2 linked regions of the Callithrix jacchus genome follow. The protein of the gene in region 2 purifies or fractionates together with the protein of the main gene of each other region. This does not show direct contact. Links are inferred from orthologs where the notes say so. Each region holds a gene or a part of one and is shown on either strand. Other genes may lie near its edges.

What was found.
Region 1: the proteins of PRR3 (region 2) and DAXX purify together in Homo sapiens (co-immunoprecipitation; 3 studies listed by BioGRID and IntAct, with this or other methods). This does not show direct contact. The link is inferred for Callithrix jacchus from reciprocal best matches to the Homo sapiens genes PRR3 and DAXX.

Annotation. Positions count from the first base shown.
Region 1 is NC_133505.1:41,560,570-41,571,625, forward strand, and holds DAXX (death domain-associated protein 6), read right to left. Parts: upstream 5,238-11,056; 5' UTR 5,145-5,237; intron 4,266-5,144; exon of another isoform or gene 4,263-4,265; 5' UTR 4,214-4,262; coding exon 4,007-4,213; intron 3,858-4,006; coding exon 3,026-3,857; intron 2,881-3,025; coding exon 2,669-2,880; intron 2,515-2,668; coding exon 2,298-2,514; intron 2,143-2,297; coding exon 1,665-2,142; intron 1,487-1,664; coding exon 1,264-1,486; intron 1,066-1,263; coding exon 1,006-1,065; 3' UTR 826-1,005; downstream 1-825. UniProt on the Homo sapiens protein: Transcription corepressor known to repress transcriptional potential of several sumoylated transcription factors. Down-regulates basal and activated transcription.
Region 2 is NC_133505.1:35,352,455-35,362,115, forward strand, and holds PRR3 (proline-rich protein 3), read left to right. Parts: upstream 1-187; 5' UTR 188-228; coding exon 229-334; intron 335-1,050; coding exon 1,051-1,113; intron 1,114-5,247; coding exon 5,248-5,538; intron 5,539-5,790; coding exon 5,791-5,897; 3' UTR 5,898-7,098; downstream 7,099-9,661.

The DNA.
Region 1 (11,056 bases), about 6.2 Mb from region 2:
CCGCCATCTTGCGCCGACTCCCTCCGCCCTCCGCCTCCGCTCCGCCTCCCGCCCCTCCGACTTTAAAGGCACAGCCGGGCACCCCGCCCGCGCCGCTGGGCAATACTCGGCCGACTCGGCCACTTTGCCTTTAAAGAACCGTCGCCTCATTCCACCTTAAAGGATCAGGTCCCCTCCTCCGCTGGGAACTCAGGACTTGGTTCGGCCGAAGCATTTATTCCCCTTTAAAGCTACAAGCCTGCCTTTTCCCATTGGCGACGGGTCCAGGCACCGTTCCCCAGGCTCCGCCTCTGAGCTGTGACCATTAGCTGGTTGGTGAGATCTAATCGCCTCCTTCCTAGCTCCTGACATTTCCCCTGAAGCCCCGCCCCCCGTCTCCGGGCCTGGATTGGCCGAATAACCTTGAGTCGGTCTCTCATTGGCTTTTTCACTCCAACTGCAAGAACTGAAAAAGTAAAGTGCGTTAAGGCGGCTGAAGCACTTTAAAAAAAAAAAGTACAGCCTGAAAAACATGGCGAAACCCCGTATCTACAAAAACTACAAACGACAAAAATTAGCAAAGTGTGGTGGCGCGTGCCTGTAGTCCCAGCTACTGGGGAGGCTGAGGCATTATCACTTGAGACCGGGAAGTCCAGGCTGCAGTGAGCTGTGATCACACCACTGCACTCTGGCCTGGGTGATAAGATGAGACACAAAAAAAGAAAGAAAAAAAAAGACCAGGTTAGAAAGGACAGATCAGGACTACCCCGGGAACATCGGGCAAACCATGAGCAAGGAAAGGGACAGCTAATGCCAATCCATGACCACAGAAGGAAAAGACAGTGATACAATAAGAAAAGAAGTTTATTGTTTATTAATGTTTCTGTGTAAAACTTAAGTTTTTTTTTTTTAAAAGAAACACCAACAGGGGATTAGCTCAGTCCATCCTTTGCTCAGTCATCTGCTTCCCACCATCCTCCAAATGCTATCCCAAAACATTTTGGAGGCAGGGAGAAGGGGAGGCAGCTAATCAGAGTCTGAAAGCACGATGATCTCCTCTGGATCACACTGTGTGGCCACACTCGTCTGCAGGGAAGTGAGAGACAGAGTCAGAGAGATATGGAGTACAGGGGAAAAGAAACAGACAGGAGGATTTAGAGGATAAAACGTAGGTGGGAAAAAGCGAGACAGAGAATGTGGAGGGTGAAATATTCAGACAGAGCAGCTGAAACAGACAATGAAAGAGAACAAATTATCAGAGGAAACCCAGCCTCCCCTTCTTACCTTGTAAGTACCAGGCTGGGGAGGTTGTGACTGGGGGGTTTGGGACAGCCGGGCTGGAGAAGGGACGCAGAGGGAGCTGGTCACAAGGCCATGGCTGGGAGAGTCTACCCTTGTGGAGGAATCAGCAACCGGGGCCAAGGAAGCCAAGGGGGAAGGTGGGCTGGGCAGGGTACATATCTTTTTCCCATTCTTCTCATGCACTGACCTTCGCCTTTCCACATAGCTAGGAACAGAAACATAAATATGTGGAGGGGTACAGGAAGACTGAGGCTGGAGGGAAACAGTCCAGTCTCTCCCAACAGACTCAGTTCCCCCATATTCCTCTCCGAAAGTCCCCTGCAATCCCTCCTTTCAGGGAACTCTTCCTCCTCCTTCCCTCTTCCTCCTCCTGTTGTTATTACCTGTTTCCTAATGGCCCTGATCCTGTTTGCTTCTTCTCCTTCCGAGATTTTTTGCAGGGGGGGCCAGAATCTCCCCAGTTGTGAGGAGAGACGCCTCCATTGAAGGAAGTAGAAGAGACCATGCCTGCCCCATTCTCTAAAACAGTGGTGAGGGAGTCCTCTGACTGCTTCCTGGAAGAGGAAATGTCCGTCTCCACAGAGGAAGGGGTGGTATCCAGGGGCAAAGCTTCAATCTCTAGCTCAAAGAGCTGAGATATAGGGCTTTCTTCCTCCAGGGTCAACTCCTCAGGCCGTTCTCCATTGCTTTCAGCATCTATGCTGGAGGGGGCCAGGGGTTCTTCTGACAGTAATGATGGTGACACTGTGAGTCCTTCATTTTGCTGCTCCCCTGAAGACCTGCTGATCTCTTTGCCAGGTTCCAGGTTCTTTTCAGTAGAGATCTGTGGTGAAGACACAGGGCTCCTGTCTCCACCTTTATCTGGAAAAGAAGAAAAGGAGAGGGGGTAGCTTGAGAATGAGGGGAAAAAATACTGCTGAGAGGACACTAGGAGGAGGAAGGAAAAGGTCTCAAACAGGTGGCTTATGCCTAAGAAAACAGAAATGACAGGTGTGGATAATGTTTCCTTGACTTACCTGCTTCTTCCTCTTCCTCTTCTTCCTCCTCTTCATCGTCCTCCTGACCATCCTGCATCTGTTCCAGATCCTCCTCCTCTTCAGAATCTGTGGCCTCCTCCTCTTCCTCCTCCTCCTCCTCCTCCTCCTCCTCTTCCTCATCACTTTCCTCATCTTCATCATCTGTCTCAGCTCTGGAGGTGGAAGGGCACCCCTGGGATGCCATTCCACTAGGGCCCTGGGGACAAAGAAGTTTCTCTAAGGAATCCCTTGCCCCAGAGGGTTTGATTCTTGCATTCCTTTTCATACTCCCCCATCAGTCAACCTGGACTCCCTGGTGGCCAGTGCAGGGGAAGGAGAAAGTCTCTCTGAAGGCTGTACCCCATCCACACCTCACCAGAATCCAAGGAGGCATTGGGGATGTCTGCAGAGGAGGAACAGGTGCCTTGGAGCCGAGCTCTTCTCTTTTTCCTCTCGCCCTCCTCACTTTTGTCTTGCAACATTGCATATTTGGAGATGACCTCATCCAACCGACTCATGGCCAAACTCCGGTTTTCCCGAAGGCGCCGGGCCAACACAGGATCTGACAGCGCAGGGTCAATGCCTACATGGGAAGACATAAAGTCAGAGCACTCAGCCCTTGAAGGGCCTAGAAGAGTACAAACCCTAGAAAGGACTAGAGAGATGCCCCATCCGCCTCATACCTGACAATATAAAGGTCACTGACAGGTATCCCACTAACCCCCTACCTGGCCTATAGTCATCTGTGAGGTGGCAGCCAAAGTTGTAGATGAGATCGAGGTGCCGTCGTTCCTGTAACCTGATGCCCACATCTCGGAAGGCATCCTGAGCCATGAGCTGGAGTTGCTGTCGGGGGAGGCCAAGGCTGTGGCGAGCAGCTGCCTTCTCCACTGCCCGAAGCACATCTCCATAGTCAGGGAAGGTATCAGGCCCTGGCTTGTTGATGAGCCGCTCAATGCGCCTGTTAACCTCTGGGTAGCGGGTACCACGGTAGGGGATGCGCTGCTCTATGACACGGCCCGTCAGTGAAGAGCAGTCTTTCAGCTCACATAGTCGCCCAAAGAGGCGGATCAGCTTACGCTTCAAGCGTGCCTCCTGCAGGTATGTGGAGTCTGGGTCGTCCAATTCCGAGAGATCTAACTCCTTTTCCTGCAGCCGCCGGATCTCTGCCACATAGAGTGCCAGCAGCTGCTCCAAGCGCTGGATCTGCCGCCGGGAACCACGGGTCCTTGGGGCCTCAGAGGCAGTGTTTTCAGCATTTGTGGGGTCCAAGGAGAGGTGTGTGGGAGAGTTATTCCCAGACGGCTCATTGGAGGTGGTGAGAGCAGGGGCCAAGTTCAGCTTCTTTTTGGCTGAGTGGGCCTTGAGAACAGTGCAGAGCTCATTAATGTAGACATAGAGCTTAGCTGGCCGGCTCTGGGCCCGAGATAGGACCCGAGAGAGGATGTTGCAGAACTCCGCCGAGGCCAAAAACAGAGAGTGGGCACGTTGCTGCCGGCTATAGAGGAATGGGACCACCTCAGGGTGGTCTGCTGTCTGCATCTTACAAAGTTCAAGGAACTGGAAGGTTCAGGGGAAGAAGGGAAGGGAAGAGAGACAAGGGAAGGGTTGAGAGAAAGGGGTGGTGGGGTTAGTGGGGAAGAAAGGACAGGAGAGCCAGTCAGCCATCCCCCTCCCTGGGGTACAAAAATCTTCCCACTAAAGCTCACCTCTTTGAACAGCTTCTCATTCTCCAACTTGTAGCATTTCTTGCCTCCCGAACTACTGCGTCCTCTGGCCCCATGAGGCTCAGAGGAGCTAGGGGCTTCTGCCTCAGGCGAGGCCGAACTGGGGAGTGGGTGGGAGGGCCCTGGCTGAGCAGCTGCTTCATCTTCGTCATCATCATCCAGCACAATGATGCTGTTAGCGGTGGCCATGGGGGATCAAATCCCCCAGACGGAGGAAGTGGTGGGGATTTCAGAATTCCTGCTGGAAGGGGATGGGGCCTCAGAATGATCCCCTCCAGCATTGCCCCATCCCTTCACCTCACACATTTTCCTAACTCCTTGGGTTTCAGTAACATCCATCCCTGACCAAAACTATCTTCACCACCTGATTTCAATAACCATTAGTTCTATATGCTTTTCGGGCTCTTCAAGTGGTGTGGGGAGGGCAAACCACCCCCACACCATAAGTTGCCACCTTCTGCTCCACCCCTCACGTCGATTTCCGGTCTTTCAGTTTCGTCTCTCCACTATTTCTCAGAGTTGGCAAGTTGAGTCTTCCTCCCACACTGCACCCCAAATCGTCCTGACACCCCCTTGTACAGATAACACACTCTTATGGGCGCCACCTTATGTATTTGCCACGTCTGTCCTCAAACATGTCAACCCCACACCCACCCCATCCTGAATGATCACCCCAACTTCTAGACTCTCTGAGGCAAAAGAGGTTCCCTCCCAACAGTCCGTTCTCTTTTCCCCTCCTTGAACTGGCTCCATATTTCACCCTCTGATGAGTCTCCTCAAACTGGGGCTTCAGGTTGAAGATATTTTACTCCAAGTCCCCTCCCTCTCACCCCACCCTAATTTTCCCCATTCTCTCTGTGACCTGATCAAAAGTACCCCCCAGCCTCCGCGCTGCGTTCTCCCGATTCCTCTTAGATCCCAACCCTGGGTCGAGCAGGTCCAGTAGACGCGCTTCCCGCCAAATCCCCCTCCCCCAGTTCAACCCCCGGCCGCCCCACTCCCTTTCAGGGATAGGAAGGTATCACAGCTTTCACCTCAGACCCAATGCCTGGCTCTCCCCCATACCCCTCCCCCGATATCCCCGCCCCTGCCTCTGGTCCCCGCACCGGCCGGCCCCCACCTCAGAAACGGTCTCTCGAGGCGACCCTCGCGGCTGATCTCAGAACCTCGCATGGTTCCCTCCGCCTTCCTTCCCCCTCCCACCGCAGGCCCCACTACGGACCGGAAGTCACAGAGTTTCCGCCTACAGGCAACTAAGCGCCGCCATATTGTCGTACGGAACCCAGTCTTTCTGTGGACGGAAGTGGCCGTAGGCCCGCCCCGTGAACACTTTCAGTGCCGCCCACATAGCGCTCTCTTTCAGATCGGAGTTTGTCTCCCCCAACCCAAGCTTCCCAAAGCAGCTGGGGGCCGCCATTTTGCCGTACGGCGCTGGCTAAACCCGGACTCCGGTGCGCAGCCAGTGGAGCTCTTTTCACCCGGTGCTTCTACGACTCTGCCAATCAGAAACTTCCTGCTTGGGGCCTAATCGCTGGCGAGTAGCATGTAGGGAGGACCGAGCCTCCTTTTCGAGCAGGGGCAGGGGAACCGTACAGGGTGGATAAGGAATTGGGCTTTCCAAAGCTGCGCAGGATTTCATGGAAGGGCAGAAGTCTCTTAAAAGGGAAGTAAAACCTTTTTATTTCAGCTGGGCTGTTGGCAAGCCTTCTGGCCCTGCTTTCCTGTCCCCCAGATTCCCAGATTCCCATTTCCAAGGCTTATTCGGCTGCTCCTTCCCCTTTCCCCGCTAGGCGGCGCGCTCCTTGCCGCTGTCCAGCAGTTGCTTCCACTGCCAGGGTCTGCGTCTCCCGATTGTTATAACACATGCATACAAATGAGCACAACGCGCCATGCAAAAGTGTTGTTATTATTATTATTGCTACTGTTGTTGATTTGCTTTTCAAGCTTCACCACAGAACTAATGGCCAACCAAACTGGTGGGACTCGAATGGTTCTGCTTCTCCGGAGGGGGTCCTCGAGGGGCCGTTTGTGCTGACCAGGAGGCCGTGCTTTGTCGTGGAGGCCCCCCCGCAGGGTCTGTGGATAGGCAATGATGGGGTGGGACTTGGAGGAGAGTCTGTGAGACGAAAATACCTTGGGTCTCCGCCTCCTCTTCTGGGAGAGCTGAAAAAAGAATAAAGGATGAAGAAACAAACTGATACTCACCTCGTTGAGTTTAGGGAGACTGTAGGGTGTCGTGGAGGCAAGGCTGTTTCCAGAGGTGAGCTTATGAGGAAACCAGAAATGTTAACAGGGTCCCAATCGTTGAGATTCCCACTTTCACAACATCTTGCCACTTAACTGGGGCCACAGAGGTCCTTAGATCCCTAACGCTGAGTCCCGGAATGGCAAACACCGTTCATTAAACAATCCCACATCACTTCTCTCCCGTTGTCAAAGTCTACAGCTTTCAAAATGGGAACATAAAACTCTCGGAGGGGACTGGGACTTGGGACATGTAAGGGATTTAATTTCCAGAACCTCAACTTTCCCAAAATTGGTCTTCGTAAGGAAACACCTGCGGTACAGCTTCTCATTCTTCACTTCTCCTTTTACAATACAGTCACCCTCTTAAGAGAAAAGGAAAACAAGTATAGTTCCTCCCCCCTCAAAACTATAGTTCTCAACCATGAAATCTCTGGGGTAATCTTACCTGTTTAAAATAAAGGGACATGTACCCTGTTTCTTTCACCAAGTCACCATGAACACCTATCTTTTTCCTTTCTTTTTCTTTTCTTTTCTTTTTTTTTTTTAAGACAGGATCAGCCGGGCGCTGTGGTTCATGCCTATAATCCTGGCACTTTGGGAGGCCTAGGCGGGTGGATCACGAGGTCAGGAGTTCAAGACCAGCCTGGCCAACATGGTGAAACTAAAAATACAAAAATTAGCTGGGCGTGGTGGTATGCCCCTGTAGTCCCAGCTACTTGGGAGGCTGAGGCAGGAGAATCGCTTGAATCTGGGAGCTGAAAGTTGCAGTGTGCCGAGATCACACCACTGCACTCCAGCCTGGCAACAGAGCAAGACTCCGTCCCAAAAAAAAAAAAAAAAGTTTTTTTTGTAGCAACAGGGTCTCACTATATTGCCCACACAGGTCTTGAGTTCCTGGCCTCAAGCAGTCCTCCCGCCTGAGTCTCTCAAAGTGCTGGGATTATGGGCATGAATGGCCACTCCCAGACTGCTATCTTATTAAAGAGTTCTTTTTTTTTTTTTTTTTTTTTTTTTTGAGACAGAGTTTCACTCTTGTTACCCAGGTTGGAGTGCAATGGCGCAATCTTGGGCTCACCGCAACCTCTGCCTCCTGGGTTCAGGCAATTCTCCTGCCTCAGCCTCCTGAGTAGCTGGGATTACAGGCACGTAAAGATTTCTTTTTAATGGTCATAAAAACGTGTATGATAGGCCGGGCGCGGTGGCTCACGCCTGTAATCCCAGCATTTTGGGAGGCTGAGGTGGGTGGATCACTTGAGGTCAGGAGTTGGAGACCAACCTGGCCAACATGGTGAAACCTCGTCTTAAAAAAAAAAAGTGTACGATCTTTATACTGTTTGAACATTCTGTTCCCATAATAATTGTAGCAGTAGCTCCTCCCAGAAGACTTTTAACAACTAGAGTCTTACAATCACAAGAAAGATATTTTTCATCTCCATTAACATATATGTATAGGCAGGAAGATATAAAAGATTGGTCAATAAAGGACTTTCAAGTATAAAAGCATAAAGTTTGGCTGGGCGTGGTGGCTCACGCCTGTAATCCCAGCTACTTGGGAGGTTGAGGAGGGTGGTTTACTTGAGGTCAGGAGTTCAAAACCAGCCTGGCCAACATGGTGAAACCCCGTATCTACTAACAATACAAAAAAATTAGCAGGACGTGGTGGTGAATGTCTGTAATCCTAGCTACTTGGGAGGCTGAGGCAGGAGAATTGCTTGAACCCAGGAGGCAGAGGTTGCAGTGAGCCAACATCATGCCACTGCATTCCAGCCTGGGTGACAAATCAAGACTTCATCTCAAAAATAAATAAATAAATAAAATAGAATAAAAGCATAAAGTTTGTGGGGAAGTGGAATGGTAGCAGGAGTTCAAAGAGAAAAGAAATGATAAAAGAAGAAAAGGAATGATTCCCAACTGGTAAGAACTTATTTATACTTTTTTTTTTTTGAGACAGGGTCTTGCTGTTGCCCAGGCTGGAGTGCAGTAGCACAATCTCAGCTCACTGCAACCTCCCCCTCCCAGGTTTAAGTGATTCTTCTGCCTCAACCTCCTGAGCAGCTGGGATTATAGATGCATACCACCATGCCTAGCCAATTTTTTGGTATTTTTTACTTTTTTCTTTTTTTTTTAGTAGAGATGGGATTTTGCCATGTTGGCCAGGCTGGTCTCAAACTCCTGACCTCAAGTGATCCACCCACCTTGGCCTCCCAAAGTGCTGGGATTATAGGCCTGAGCCACCGAGCCAGGCCTTATTTACACTTTTTTTTTTTTTTTTTTTTTTTAGATGGAGTCTCCCACTGTCACCCAGGCTGCAGTGCAGTGGCACAATCTTGGCTCACTGCAGTCTCCTAAGATAAAGCAATTCTCCTGCCTCAGCCTCCCAAGTAGCTGGGACTACAGGCATGTGCCGCCATGCCCAGCTAATTTTTTTGTATTTTTAGTAGAGACGGTGTTTCACCACTGTTGGCCTGGATAGTCTTGATCTCCTGACCTTATGATCCGCCCACCTTGGCTTCCCAAAGTGCTGGGATTACAGGCATGAGCCACCCCGCCTGGCCTATTTATACATTTTTTAATGGGTAGTAGTGGGTAACAAGTTACTATGGTTTTTTTTTTTTGAGACGGAGTAGCCCTCTGTCACCCATGCTGGAGTGCAGTAGCATGATCTTGGCTCACTGCAACCTCCACCTCCCAGATTCAAGCAATTCTCCTGCCTTAGCCTCCTGAGTAGCTGGGATTATAGGTGCTCACCACCACACCCAGCTAATTTTTGTATTTTTAGTAGAAACGGGTTTTTACCATGTTGATCAGGCTGGTCTAGAACTCTTGACCTCATGATCAGCCCGCCTTGGCCTCCCAAAGTGCTCGGATTACAGGCATGAGCCACCGATACTTCAATTGCCCTGGACAATAAATTGTTTTATTTTATTTTATTTATTTTTTGAGATGGAGTCTCGCTCTGTTGCCCAGGCTGGAGTGCAGTGGCATGATCTCAGCTCACTGCAACCTCCACTTCCCAGGTTCAAGAAATTCTCCTGCCTCAGCCTTCCTGAGTAGCTGGGATTACAGGCACACCTGGCTAATTTTTTTATTTTTAGTAGAGACGGGGTTTCACCATGTTGGTCAGGCTGGTCTCGAACTTCTGACCTCATGATCTGCCCACCTCATTCTCCCAAAGTTCTGGGATTACAGGCCTGAGCCTGCTCCCAGCTAATTGTTTTATTTTAAAATGTGGGGCCAGGCATGGTGACTCAAACCTGTAATCCTAGCACTTTGGGAGGCCGAAGCAGGAAGATCACTTGAGGTCAGGAGTTTGAGACCAGCCTGATCAACAGGATAAAAGCTTGCCTCTACTACAAATACAAAAATTAGCCGGGCATGGTGGTGGGCACCTGTAATCCCAGCTACTTGGGAGCTGAGGCAGGAGAATCCCTTGAACCTGGGAGGCGAAGGTTGCAGTGAGCCACGATTGTGCCATTGCACTCTAGCCTGGGCAACTAAGCAAGACTCCATCTCAAAAAATAAAAAAATCGGCCAGGCTTGGTGGCTCACGCCTGTAATCCCAGCACTTTGGCAGGCTGAGGCGGGTGGATTACCCGAGGTCAGGAGTTCAAGACCAGCCTAGCCAACATAGTGAAATCCCCATCTCTACTAAAAAATACAAAAATTAGCCAGGCATCGTGGCACGCACCTGTAGTCCCAGCTCTTTTGGAGCCTGAGGCAGGAGAATTGCCTGAACCTGGGAGTTGGAGGTTTCAGTTAGCCAAGATTGCACCACTGCACTCCAGCCTGGGCAACATAGTGATACTCTGTCTCAAAAATTAAAACACACACACACACACACACGCACAAAATAAAATGTGGCCAGATGCTATGGCTCACTGCCTATAATCCTAGCACTTTGGGAGGCTGAGGTAGGTGGATTGCTTCATCTCAAAAGTACAGACCAGCCTGGACAACATAGTAAGACCTCATCTTAATAAATAAATAAATAGGCTGGGCACAGTGGCCCACGCCTGTAATCCCAGCATTTTGGGAGGACAAGGTGAGTGGATCACTTGAGGTCAGGAGTTCCAGACCAGTCTGGCCAACATGATGAAACCCCCTCTCTACTAATAATAAAAAAATAGCTAGGCATGGTGGTGCACACCAGTAGTCCCAGCTATTTGGGGGCCTGAGGCAGGAGAATCACCTGAACGTGGGAGGCAGAGGCTGCAGTGAGCTGAGATTGCTGCATGCACTCCAGGCTGGGCGACAGAGAAAGACTCTGTCTCAAAGAAAAAAATAAAAAGGATTTCAAGACCAGCCTAGCCAACATGGTAAAACCCGTCTCTACTAAAAACACAAAAATTAGTCAGGCATGCTGGTGCGCACCTGTGGTCCCAGCTACTTGGGAGGCTGAAGCAGGAGAATTGCTTGAACTTGGGAGGCAGAGGTTGAAGTAAGCCAAGATTGTGCCACTGTACTGCAGCCTGGGTGACAGAGCAAGACTCCGTCTCAGTCAATCAAGCAAGCAAATGAATATTCTCAGTGTGCCGGAAGTGCATCCTTGAGACAATTTTTATTTATTTTTATTTTTATTTGCTTATTTATTTTGAGATGGAGTCTCACTCTGTCGCCCAGGCCAGAGTGCAGTGGCAGCGATCTTGGCTCACTGCAACCACCTCTCAAGTTCAAGCAATTCTCCTGCCTTGGCCTCCTAAGTAGCTGAGGCAGGAGAATCAGGCGCCCACCAACTAGTCTGGCTAATTTTTGTATTTTTAGTACAGACTGGGTTTCACCATGTTT
Region 2 (9,661 bases):
ACGCAGCAAAGGGAAGGTGTGAGGTTGCCACCATGCCTAGCAGAGACGGACAGAGGCAGTTTACTCCAGAATGCGGCCGCTGCAGATGTTCCCCGCAACGTTCCGGAAATGGAATGGCGGGAGCCTCATCCTCGCTGCCCACCGCCCCGCCGGAAGCGGAAACAGAATCCCCGTGTGCCCCTTCCTCACTGCCCTCCAAATCCCGCTGCAGCCATTGCGGCAGCCACGATGCCGAAACGAAAGAAGCAGAATCAGCACCAGCCACCATCACAGCAGCAGCCCCCACTGCCCGAGCGGGAAGATACTGGAGATGAGGAGGATGGGAGTCCCATCGGTGAGGGGTCGGGGAGGGACGTGCACATGCCTGTCAGCCCGTCCGGGCGAGGGGCTAGGGGCTGGTAAGGTGCAAAGGAGGGGGCTGTAACGGAAGGAGGAAGGGCGCACGCGCTGGGGAGGAATGGAAGGGGCTGTCCCAAATGGAGCCTTGAACGAGGAGTTCTCTTACTGGAACCATCAACCTCAAACTGGCCCCAAACCTTTCTGGAGAAGGCGGGGGTGGCGAGAATAAAGAGCTCTTTTGCGCAGTCGCAGAACAATAGGGGAAAGGGACAGTAGAGATGTTGCAGATTGTGATGACTGGGATGACAGTTTGTATCCAGACTGACTGAAGAGGTGCAGGTGCAGCTTTCTCTGAACTAGTCCTCTGGCCAAGGGGAAGGAGAAGAGAATTGACTGGCCAGCAGTTGAGGGATTGGTTTATGTCTGGAGACACTTGGATTGTTTTGGATAGCGACGGTACGGTGAGGAAAAGAAAAAGTTTTGTCTTTTCCTGCATTATCCCCTTTGATTGAATATCTACTCTTTGCAAACCCGAAACAGCTTTGCAGAAAAAAGCGCAGGTAGATGGGGTGAGAACTCCTAAGACTGCTGAAAATATACCTGACTTTACTGGTTGAATTAAGAAATGAGTAATAGAAGAAAAACACCTAAGAACAGAATCATCAGTCCCTTAATCCATTCTGATGACCGTATTTTCATGTCTGCTCTTAGGACCACCCAGCCTTCTGGGCCCTCCCCCCATGGCCAATGGAAAACCTGGTGACCCTAAGTCAGGTGAGGAGGAAGGGGCCCTGATCCTTGTATTAGGTCGTGGAGAAGAGAGCAAGGGAGGGGATAAAACCCAGAAAGGACTTAAAAATCAAAAGATCAGGGATTCCATACCTAAATGAATGGAGAAAAGTTGTATATTTGCTGATTGAAAAACTCGATGTTGTTAAAATGTCACTTCTTCCCAAACTGATGTATAGATTTCATGCATTCCAAGCCAGAATATCTACAGTGTTTTTGTAGAAATACACATTTTTATAGGGAAATGCAAAATATCAAGGTGAGAGACTGTCAAGATGATCTTGAAGTGGGAAGGCTTGCTATGAATATCAAGATTTGTAAGCTGGGCATGGTGTCACATGCCTATAGTCCTAGCTACTCAGGAGACTGAAGTGGGAGGATCGTTTGAGGCCAGCCTGGGCTACATAGTGAGACCCTGTCTCTAAAAACAAGAGAAAAAGACTATAAAGCTATAATAGTTACAACGATGCAGTTTGGACACAATTATAGACATAAGTCAACAGGACTTAGGTCCTGAAGACTCCAATAACAGACCCATACATGTGTGGACACTTCCTTTATGATGAAGATGGAACTGAAAAGTTGGTCTTTTCAATAAATGATACTGGATCACTTGGATATTCATGTAAAAAAATGGAATTTCACCTTGCACTCATAATCATATATAAAGATCTATTTCAAATGGACTGTAGATTTAAGTATAAAAGGTAAGAGAGGCCAGGTGCGGTGGCTCACACCTGTATTCCCAGCACTTTGGCGGGCCGAGGCGGGCAGATCACCTGAGGTTGGGAGTTTGAGACCAGCCCGACCAACATGGAGAAACCCTGTCTCTACTAAAAATACAAAATTAGCAGGGCATGGTGGCACATATTCCCAGCTACTCAGGAGGCTGAGGCAGGAGAATCACTTGAACCCGGGAGGCAGAGGTTGCAGTGAGCCAAGATTGCACCACTTGCACTCCAGCCTGGGCAACAAGAGCAAAACTCCATCTCTAAAAAAATTAATAAATAAAAGGTAAGAGAATAATTATTCTAGACAATAAATGGGCTGGGTGCAATAGCTCATGCCTGTAATCCTAGCACTTTGGGAGGCCGAGGTGGTGGATCACCTGAGGTCAGGAGTTCAAGACCAGCCTGGCCAACGTGGTGAAACCCCACCTTTTAAAAAAAAAAAAAGAAAGTAAATGTATTTTCATGCTCTAAGAGTTCTTAAACAGACCAGAAATGCCCATATACATACTAACCATAAAGGAAAGATTGGTAAATTGAACTGTTAGAAAATATAAACTTGCTAAATGACACCATCAAGAAATTAACAGGAAACCATACAGTAGAAGATAATGGCAACAAATATAACCAATAGGCGGGGCGTGGTGGCTCACACCTGTAATCCAAGCACTTTGGAGGCCAAGATGGTCGGGAGTTCAAGACCAGCCTGACCAACATGGTGAAACCCCGTCTTTTTAAAAAAAAAAATACATATATATATATATAACCAATAAAGAGCCTGTATCTATAATACATAAATAACCTTTCCAGACAAGCTATTTGAAAAACTGACAAAAGACCAGAACAGTTACCTTATTAAAATGCAGATATAAACTAATGATCTAAATGAATAAGCATCAACATCATTAATAAATGCAAGACAAAAATATACCACTTTGAAATTAGAACTCTTGGCCAGGTGTGGTGGCTCACACCTGTAATCCCAACACTTTGGGAGGCTAAGAAAGGTGGATCACCTGAGGTCAGGAGTTTGAGACCAGCCTGGCTAACACAGTGAAACCCTGTCTCTGCTGGAAATACAAAAATTAGCCTTGAACCCAGGAGACAAAGGTTTTTTTTTGTTGTTGTTGTTGTTGTTTTATTTATTTTATATTTTTATTTATCCCTGTAATCCCAGCTACTTGTGGGGCTGAGGTAGGAGAATCACTTGAACCCAGGAGGTAGAGGTTGCAGGAGGTGGAGATCATGCCATTGCACTCCAGCCCGGGCAACAAGAGTGAAACGCTGTCTCAAAAAAAAAAAAAAAGAAAGAAAGAAATTAGAACTCTGTGTACTGCTGCTGAGATTATAAAATGGTAAACCTACTATAGAAAACAATATGAAGATGTTCCTCTAAAACAATTAAAAATAGAACTACTCAGAACTCCTGCTTCTGGATATATATCCAAAAAAAAATGGAAAACAGGGTCTTGAGATTTGCAGACTCATGTTCATAGCAGCAACCCACATATCCAATGATGAAAAAAAAATGTGGTGTGTACATACAATGGAATATTATTCAGCCTTATGATGGAAGAAAATGCTGTCATATACTACAACATGGATGAACTTTGAGGACTTTATGTTAAGTAAAGACATAGTGTATGATTCCACTTATGTGAGGAGTCTGAAGTCAAATTCAGGGGCCAGGCATGGTGGTTCATGCCTGTAATCCCAGCACTTTGAGAGAGCGAGGCAGGCGGATCACTGAAGGTCAGGAGTTTGAGAGCAACCTGGCCAACATGGGGAAACCCCATCTCTACTAAATACAAAAATTAGCCCAGCATGGTGGTACACGCCTGTAATCCCAGCTACTCAGGTGGCTGAGGCACAAGAATTGCTTAAACCTGGGAAGTGGAGGTTGCAGTGAGCCGAGATAACACCTCTGCACTCCAGCCTGGGCAGCAGAGCAAGACTTTGTCTCAAAAAAAATTATAAAAATAAAGTCAAATTCAAAGAAACAGAATGGTGGTTACTAGAGGCTGGGGGAAGGAAGATGGAAGAAGGGGAGTTTTGTTTAATGGGAACAGTTTCATTCAGTTTTGCAAGATAAAAAACTTTTGGAGATCTGTTTCACAACAATATGAATATATGTAACTACTGAACTATATATACACTTAAAGACAGGTAAGATGGTAAATTTTATGTGTTTTTTAGCACAATAAAAAGCAAACAAGATGAGACATGATGACTCATACCTATAATCCTAGCACTTTGGGAGACCAAGGTGGGAGGATCATTTGAGCCCAGGAGTTCAAGACCAGCCTGGGCAATGTGGCAAGACCCAATCTCTCATTTAAAAAATTAAAACACCACTTTTCACACTCACCAGAATGGTAAAAATTAAAAAACAATACCAAGTGCTGTCAAGGCTAAAGGACAACTGCTGGTGAGAGTGCAAATTGGTACAACCACTACGGAAAAAAGTTTGGGCTCATGCCTGTAATCCTAGCACTTTGTGAGGCCGAGGTGGGTGGACTGCCTGAGCTCAGCAGTTTGAGACCAAGCCTGAGCAGCATGGCGAAACCCCGTCTCTACTAAAATACAAAAAGTTAGCTGGGTGTGGCAGTGTGCACCTGTAGTTCCAGCTACTCAGGAGGCCGAGGCAGGAGAATTGCTTGAACCCGGGAGGCAGGGGTTGCAGTGAGCCAAGATCATGCCACTGTACTCCAGCCTGGGCAACACAGTGAGACTCCATCTCCAAAAAGAAAGTTTGGCATTATGCATGAAACTTGAGCATAACGTACACTCTATGACCCAGCAATACCTCTACTGCATATATACTCAACAGAAATGCATACATATGTGTAACAACATGTATAAAAATGTTTATAGTGGAATTTCTCGTTATAGCCCCAAACTGGATACCACCCACAAGTCTATCTGCAGTAGAATGGATAAATAAGTTGTTGTGTATGCATGCAATGGGATACTACACTGCAGCGAAATGAATGAACTACTTCTACAGGCAACCTGGATGAATCACACAAACATGATGTTGAGCGAAAGGAGCCAGACATAAAAGAATGCAGACTGTATGATTCCATTTTTTGTGAAGTTCAAAAACAGGCAAAAACTAACCTATGCTGTCAGGATAGTGGTTACCTTTGGGGAGGAGGGTGGATAGTGGGAAAAGGGGCACAAGGGGAGGATCTACTGAGGTGCTAATAAGGCCTTATCATTTGGTGGCGGAAAGTCAAGTGTGTCTACTTTGTGATAATTGGGTTGTGCACTTAAAACTGGTGTGTGTTTATGTATGCTGTTCTTCAATAAAAAATTTTTTTAAAAATCAGGGCTTATTAGGATTAAGCTGCCCATTGGTCACCTTTTTTTTTTTTTTTCCTCTCTCCAGCTTTTCACAGAGGTCCTCCAGGATCAAGGGGACCATTGATTCCACCACTGCTGAGCCTCCCACCTCCTCCATGGGGTAGAGGCCCAATTCGGGGAGGCCTTGGCCCCAGGTCTAGCCCATATGGTCGTGGTTGGTGGGGAGTCAATGCTGAACCTCCTTTTCCGGGGCCAGGCCATGGGGGTCCCACCAGGGGAAGCTTTCACAAAGAACAGAGAAACCCTCGAAGGCTCAAAAGCTGGTCTCTTATCAAGAATACCTGCCCGCCCAAGGATGACCCCCAGGTTATGGAAGGTGAGGTCCATTTTGTTATGCCCCTTACTCCCAGAGTGACAGAACATTCATGATCATCTCTGGGCTTTCCTTGTTTGCTTTTGAAGCAGAAATAGACCTGAATGTTATTTCTCCCAGAGGAAAGACTACCATTTCAAAATACCTGGAAATGGTAGGGGTAGGAAATCTGTCCTCCTTTTGTCTCTGCTTTTCATTATATTTGTTTTCTTTCTTGCTCAAATTTTTAAATGTTCAATTTTCACTTGTTCACAGACAAATCTGACCGCCCTGTCTGCCGACATTTTGCCAAAAAGGGCCACTGTCGATATGAGGACCTCTGTGCCTTCTACCACCCAGGCGTCAATGGACCTCCCCTGTGAGACTGTGCCTTCCCATCCAGGCTGGAAGGAGCTCTCTGTGACCTAGTGGCAATGCATTTCCCTGTAGCCCTGTGATGGCTACTGTGAGGCTCTTCCAACACCCTCAGTCAGTGACGCACCCACCCCATCCGCCACCTCCCCAATTTGGGGTCCACAGTTGTGTTGTGTCACTGGTGCGAGGTGTATGCGCTTTCTTCTGATCCAGCCTGTAGAGACTCACCTTCGGGACCCATCTTTGCTCCCTTCAGTTGCCTCCTGGATCTTCTTTCCCGTCATCAAATGACTGCTGAACAGGAAACTTCTTTGGTGCTGTTTCTTGTGCATCTCTCCACCTGCTCCCCAGTACTGCCCTCAATTCCTGAGAGCCCTGGAGTGGTTTCTTACCATTCCCTTCTTCTAGCTGCTTGTTTTGTTTTAAGTCATTTTTATGTGACAACTCCTACCCCCAATGTTGTCAGCTGCTTGTGAAACTGCCAGGTTGTCTAACCTGGGGTCAGGTTTTGGTGACTGGTGCAGAGTTACTTCCTACAAGGCCACTCTCCCTACTTTTGGATTTCATAGTTTCTGTCAGTAGCATGAGCCCCACCACTATGGTCTGTGATCACCGTGCTTTGTGGAACTGTGCATCCCCTTGTAGCCTTTTTCAGTGTCCATGGCATTTTTGTGACTTCCCAACACTAGAGTAAGTTTTTCTGCCAAAATGAGTGAGGCTCTTGGTGCCCTCTAGCCTTTCCCACCTCCCAACGTGGGAGAATTGTGAACTTTCCATCAAACTGCTTCCCTGGCCCTCCCCATTCTCCTGTTGGTTATTCTGGGTCTGACACAGGCCCTTGAGATGTCATGTAAAGCCTCCAGTGGCTTTATCCTACCTAGATCCCTTCTAGCCCATTTTAGTTAGACTGTCATTGTGAATGCACCAGTCATTTCATTTGAATTCTGTGAATCTCCACCTTGCCTATGTTTGGGTGGAAACTGGACAGTACTGTTGCCCTCTTCCAACCCCTCTTCCCCTACATCCTGGTACTGGTTGTTTTCTGTGAAAACAGCAGTGAACAGGTTCCGTTTTGAACTGACCCTGAGGAAGTGAGTCAGGAGCTGTACTGGCAAGAGGGAGGGGATGAGAGCTATTGGAGAACTGAGAATGAGGTTTTTTTTTCTTTTTAACATTTTTTTATATTAGTAATAAACGCAGTGGAAACCAGCATTTTCTTTAATCCCTGTGTTCTAGTCATCTCTGGAGATGCAGATGAAGCTGTTCTTACCTGGTGGAGTCAGCTCATTCTAGTTGAATGAGCTGACTAGAATGTTCATACATTCCCCATCAGTAGTTCATATACACTAGTGATGGGGAATGACACAATTTAAGGTTCTTTCAGGCTGAAAGAACCAATGGGGGTTCCATTAGCCTGTAGGCTTCAATCAGACCAAGCTGCCTTATGTTCAAGGGCAAAGTTTTGTAGGAAAAAGGAAAGGCCAGGTGTCCCTGGAGTTATTTTTAAACATTTTGCTTTATGGAGTTTTGTGTTTATGAAGTGGTTAATGATGGAGTCTTTCAGCAACAATTTGCAGAGTGTCTGTGGGCCAAGCAATATACTAAGCACTAGAGATAACTGACAGCCAAAGCCAATTTATTTAAAATGTACAGGGAAGACCAGTTTATCAAATAATCACAAATAGCATGTGAAGTTAAACCTGTCAAAAGTGGTGGGAAGAAGACAGGGTGAAAGGGAAGTGTGTAATAAAGGGAGTCAGGGAAGGGGATGCAGCTGAGACATGCTCCAAAGGAAAAACAGGAGGTTTTCGCTAAAAGACCAAGGGGAAGAGGAGCTAAGAAACCTAGGGACAGTGGGAGGTGACACAGAAGACCTCCAGACCACTCAGGGCCTTGGAGAACATGAAAATGTGGCTCTTTTCTTAGAATTGAAGGCTTTGGAGAATTCTAGACAGGTGAGTATCATGGCTTAGGTTGGCTTTTCAAAAAAATCAGCTTGTATGGAAAGGGCCAGCCTTGGACCTGGAAGTTAGTTAGAAGCTACTGGCTACTTCAGTAGTACAAGTGATGAAACAGACTTGGGTAGCAGAGGTGGAAAAAAGTGGGCATTTGAAAATTACTGGTCAAAACAAAGTATCAGATTTCACCACATAGTTCTGGCTTATGTAGCTGCCATTTAAAAAGAAAAGTATTGGGCCAGGAGCGGTGGCTCACAATTGTAATCCCAGCACTTTGAAAGGCCAAGGCGGGCAGGTCACGAGATCAGGTGTTCAAGACCTGATCAACAGGGTGAAACCCCTCAGGTCTCTATTAAAAATACAAAAATTAGCCAGGCATGGTGGCGCATACCTGTAATCACAGCTACTTGGGAGGCTGAGGCAGGAGAACCGCTTGAACCCAGGTGGCAGAGGTTGCAGTGAACTACGATCTCACCACTGCACTCCAGCCTGAGCGACATAGCGAGACTGTCTCAAAAAATATATATTGGCTAGGCACGGTAGCTCATGCCTATAACCCCAGCACTTTTGGGAGGCTGAGGCAGGAGGATTGCTTGAGCTCACAAGTTCAAGACCTGCTTGGGCAACAGCAAGATCGTCACAGTTTAAAGTGAAGATCTTGTCTCTACTAAAAATAAATTAGCCAGGAGCAGTGGCACACAGCTGTAGTCCCAGCTACTCAGGAGGCTGAGACGGGAGGATCACTTGAGCCCAGGAGGTCAAGGCTGCAGTGAGCCATGATCATGTCACTGTACTCTAGCCTGGGCAACAGAGTGAGACCCTGTCTCAAATAAATAAATAAAAATTGTGTGGCCGGGCACGGTGGCTCAAGCCTGTAATCCCAGCACTTTGGGAGGCCAAGGCTGGTGGATCACGAGGTCAACAGATCGAGACCATCCTGGTCAACATGGTGAAACCCCGTCTCTACTAAAAATACAAAAAATTAGCTGGGCATGGTGCTGCGTGCCTGTAATCCCAGCTACTCAGGAGGCTGAAGCAGGAGAATTGCCTGAACCCAGGAGGCGGAGGTTGCAGTGAGCCGAGATCGCGCCATTGCACTCCAGCCTGGGTAACGAGCGAAACTCCGTCTCAAAAAAAAAAAAAAAAAAAAAAAATGTACAAATGTCCCATTAGAAAATAGGCAGAATGCCGCTAATTAGCTTTTGGCATGGTTGAGTCTGAGATGCCTTTTAAGACATTCAAGCAGAGATATAAAGTAGGTAGTTGCATATACAGATTTTGGTGTTGAGATTAGAACTAGAGACAAATCTGAGTTATCTGTATATAAGTGCCAGTTGAGGCCATGAGCATGGATGTATTTGTTCACTCTAAGTGTTAAGTACCTGCAATGTCCCCGTTCATCAGGTTTAGGTTCACTTGTAATAGAAACCCCAAATTAGTCTTAAGATAGAAGTTTATTTCTCTCACAGGTCAAGAGGTAGACAATCCAAGATATGTGACAATGCCACCACTACAAGATCCCTGAGTATTCAGAACCTCAACCCCCAGGTTCTAGATTCACAATCACAAACTTCTATTCACAGGTTAAAGTGAAGATCTAGCTTCCTCGTCCATATTCAAACCCTTAGGATGAAAGAAGGGCCAAGAATACCAGTTGTCTGGGAAGAAACTTCTTCAAAATTAACTTACAGCTCTTCAACTTACAGGCAAGCATTTAAGTTGAGTTTATTAATTCTACAGAGGTTATCTCCCTAAAAGAGGGCTTCTAGGAATGACAGGATTAGGGTTTGTGTTCGTTGATTTCAAAAGAAGCA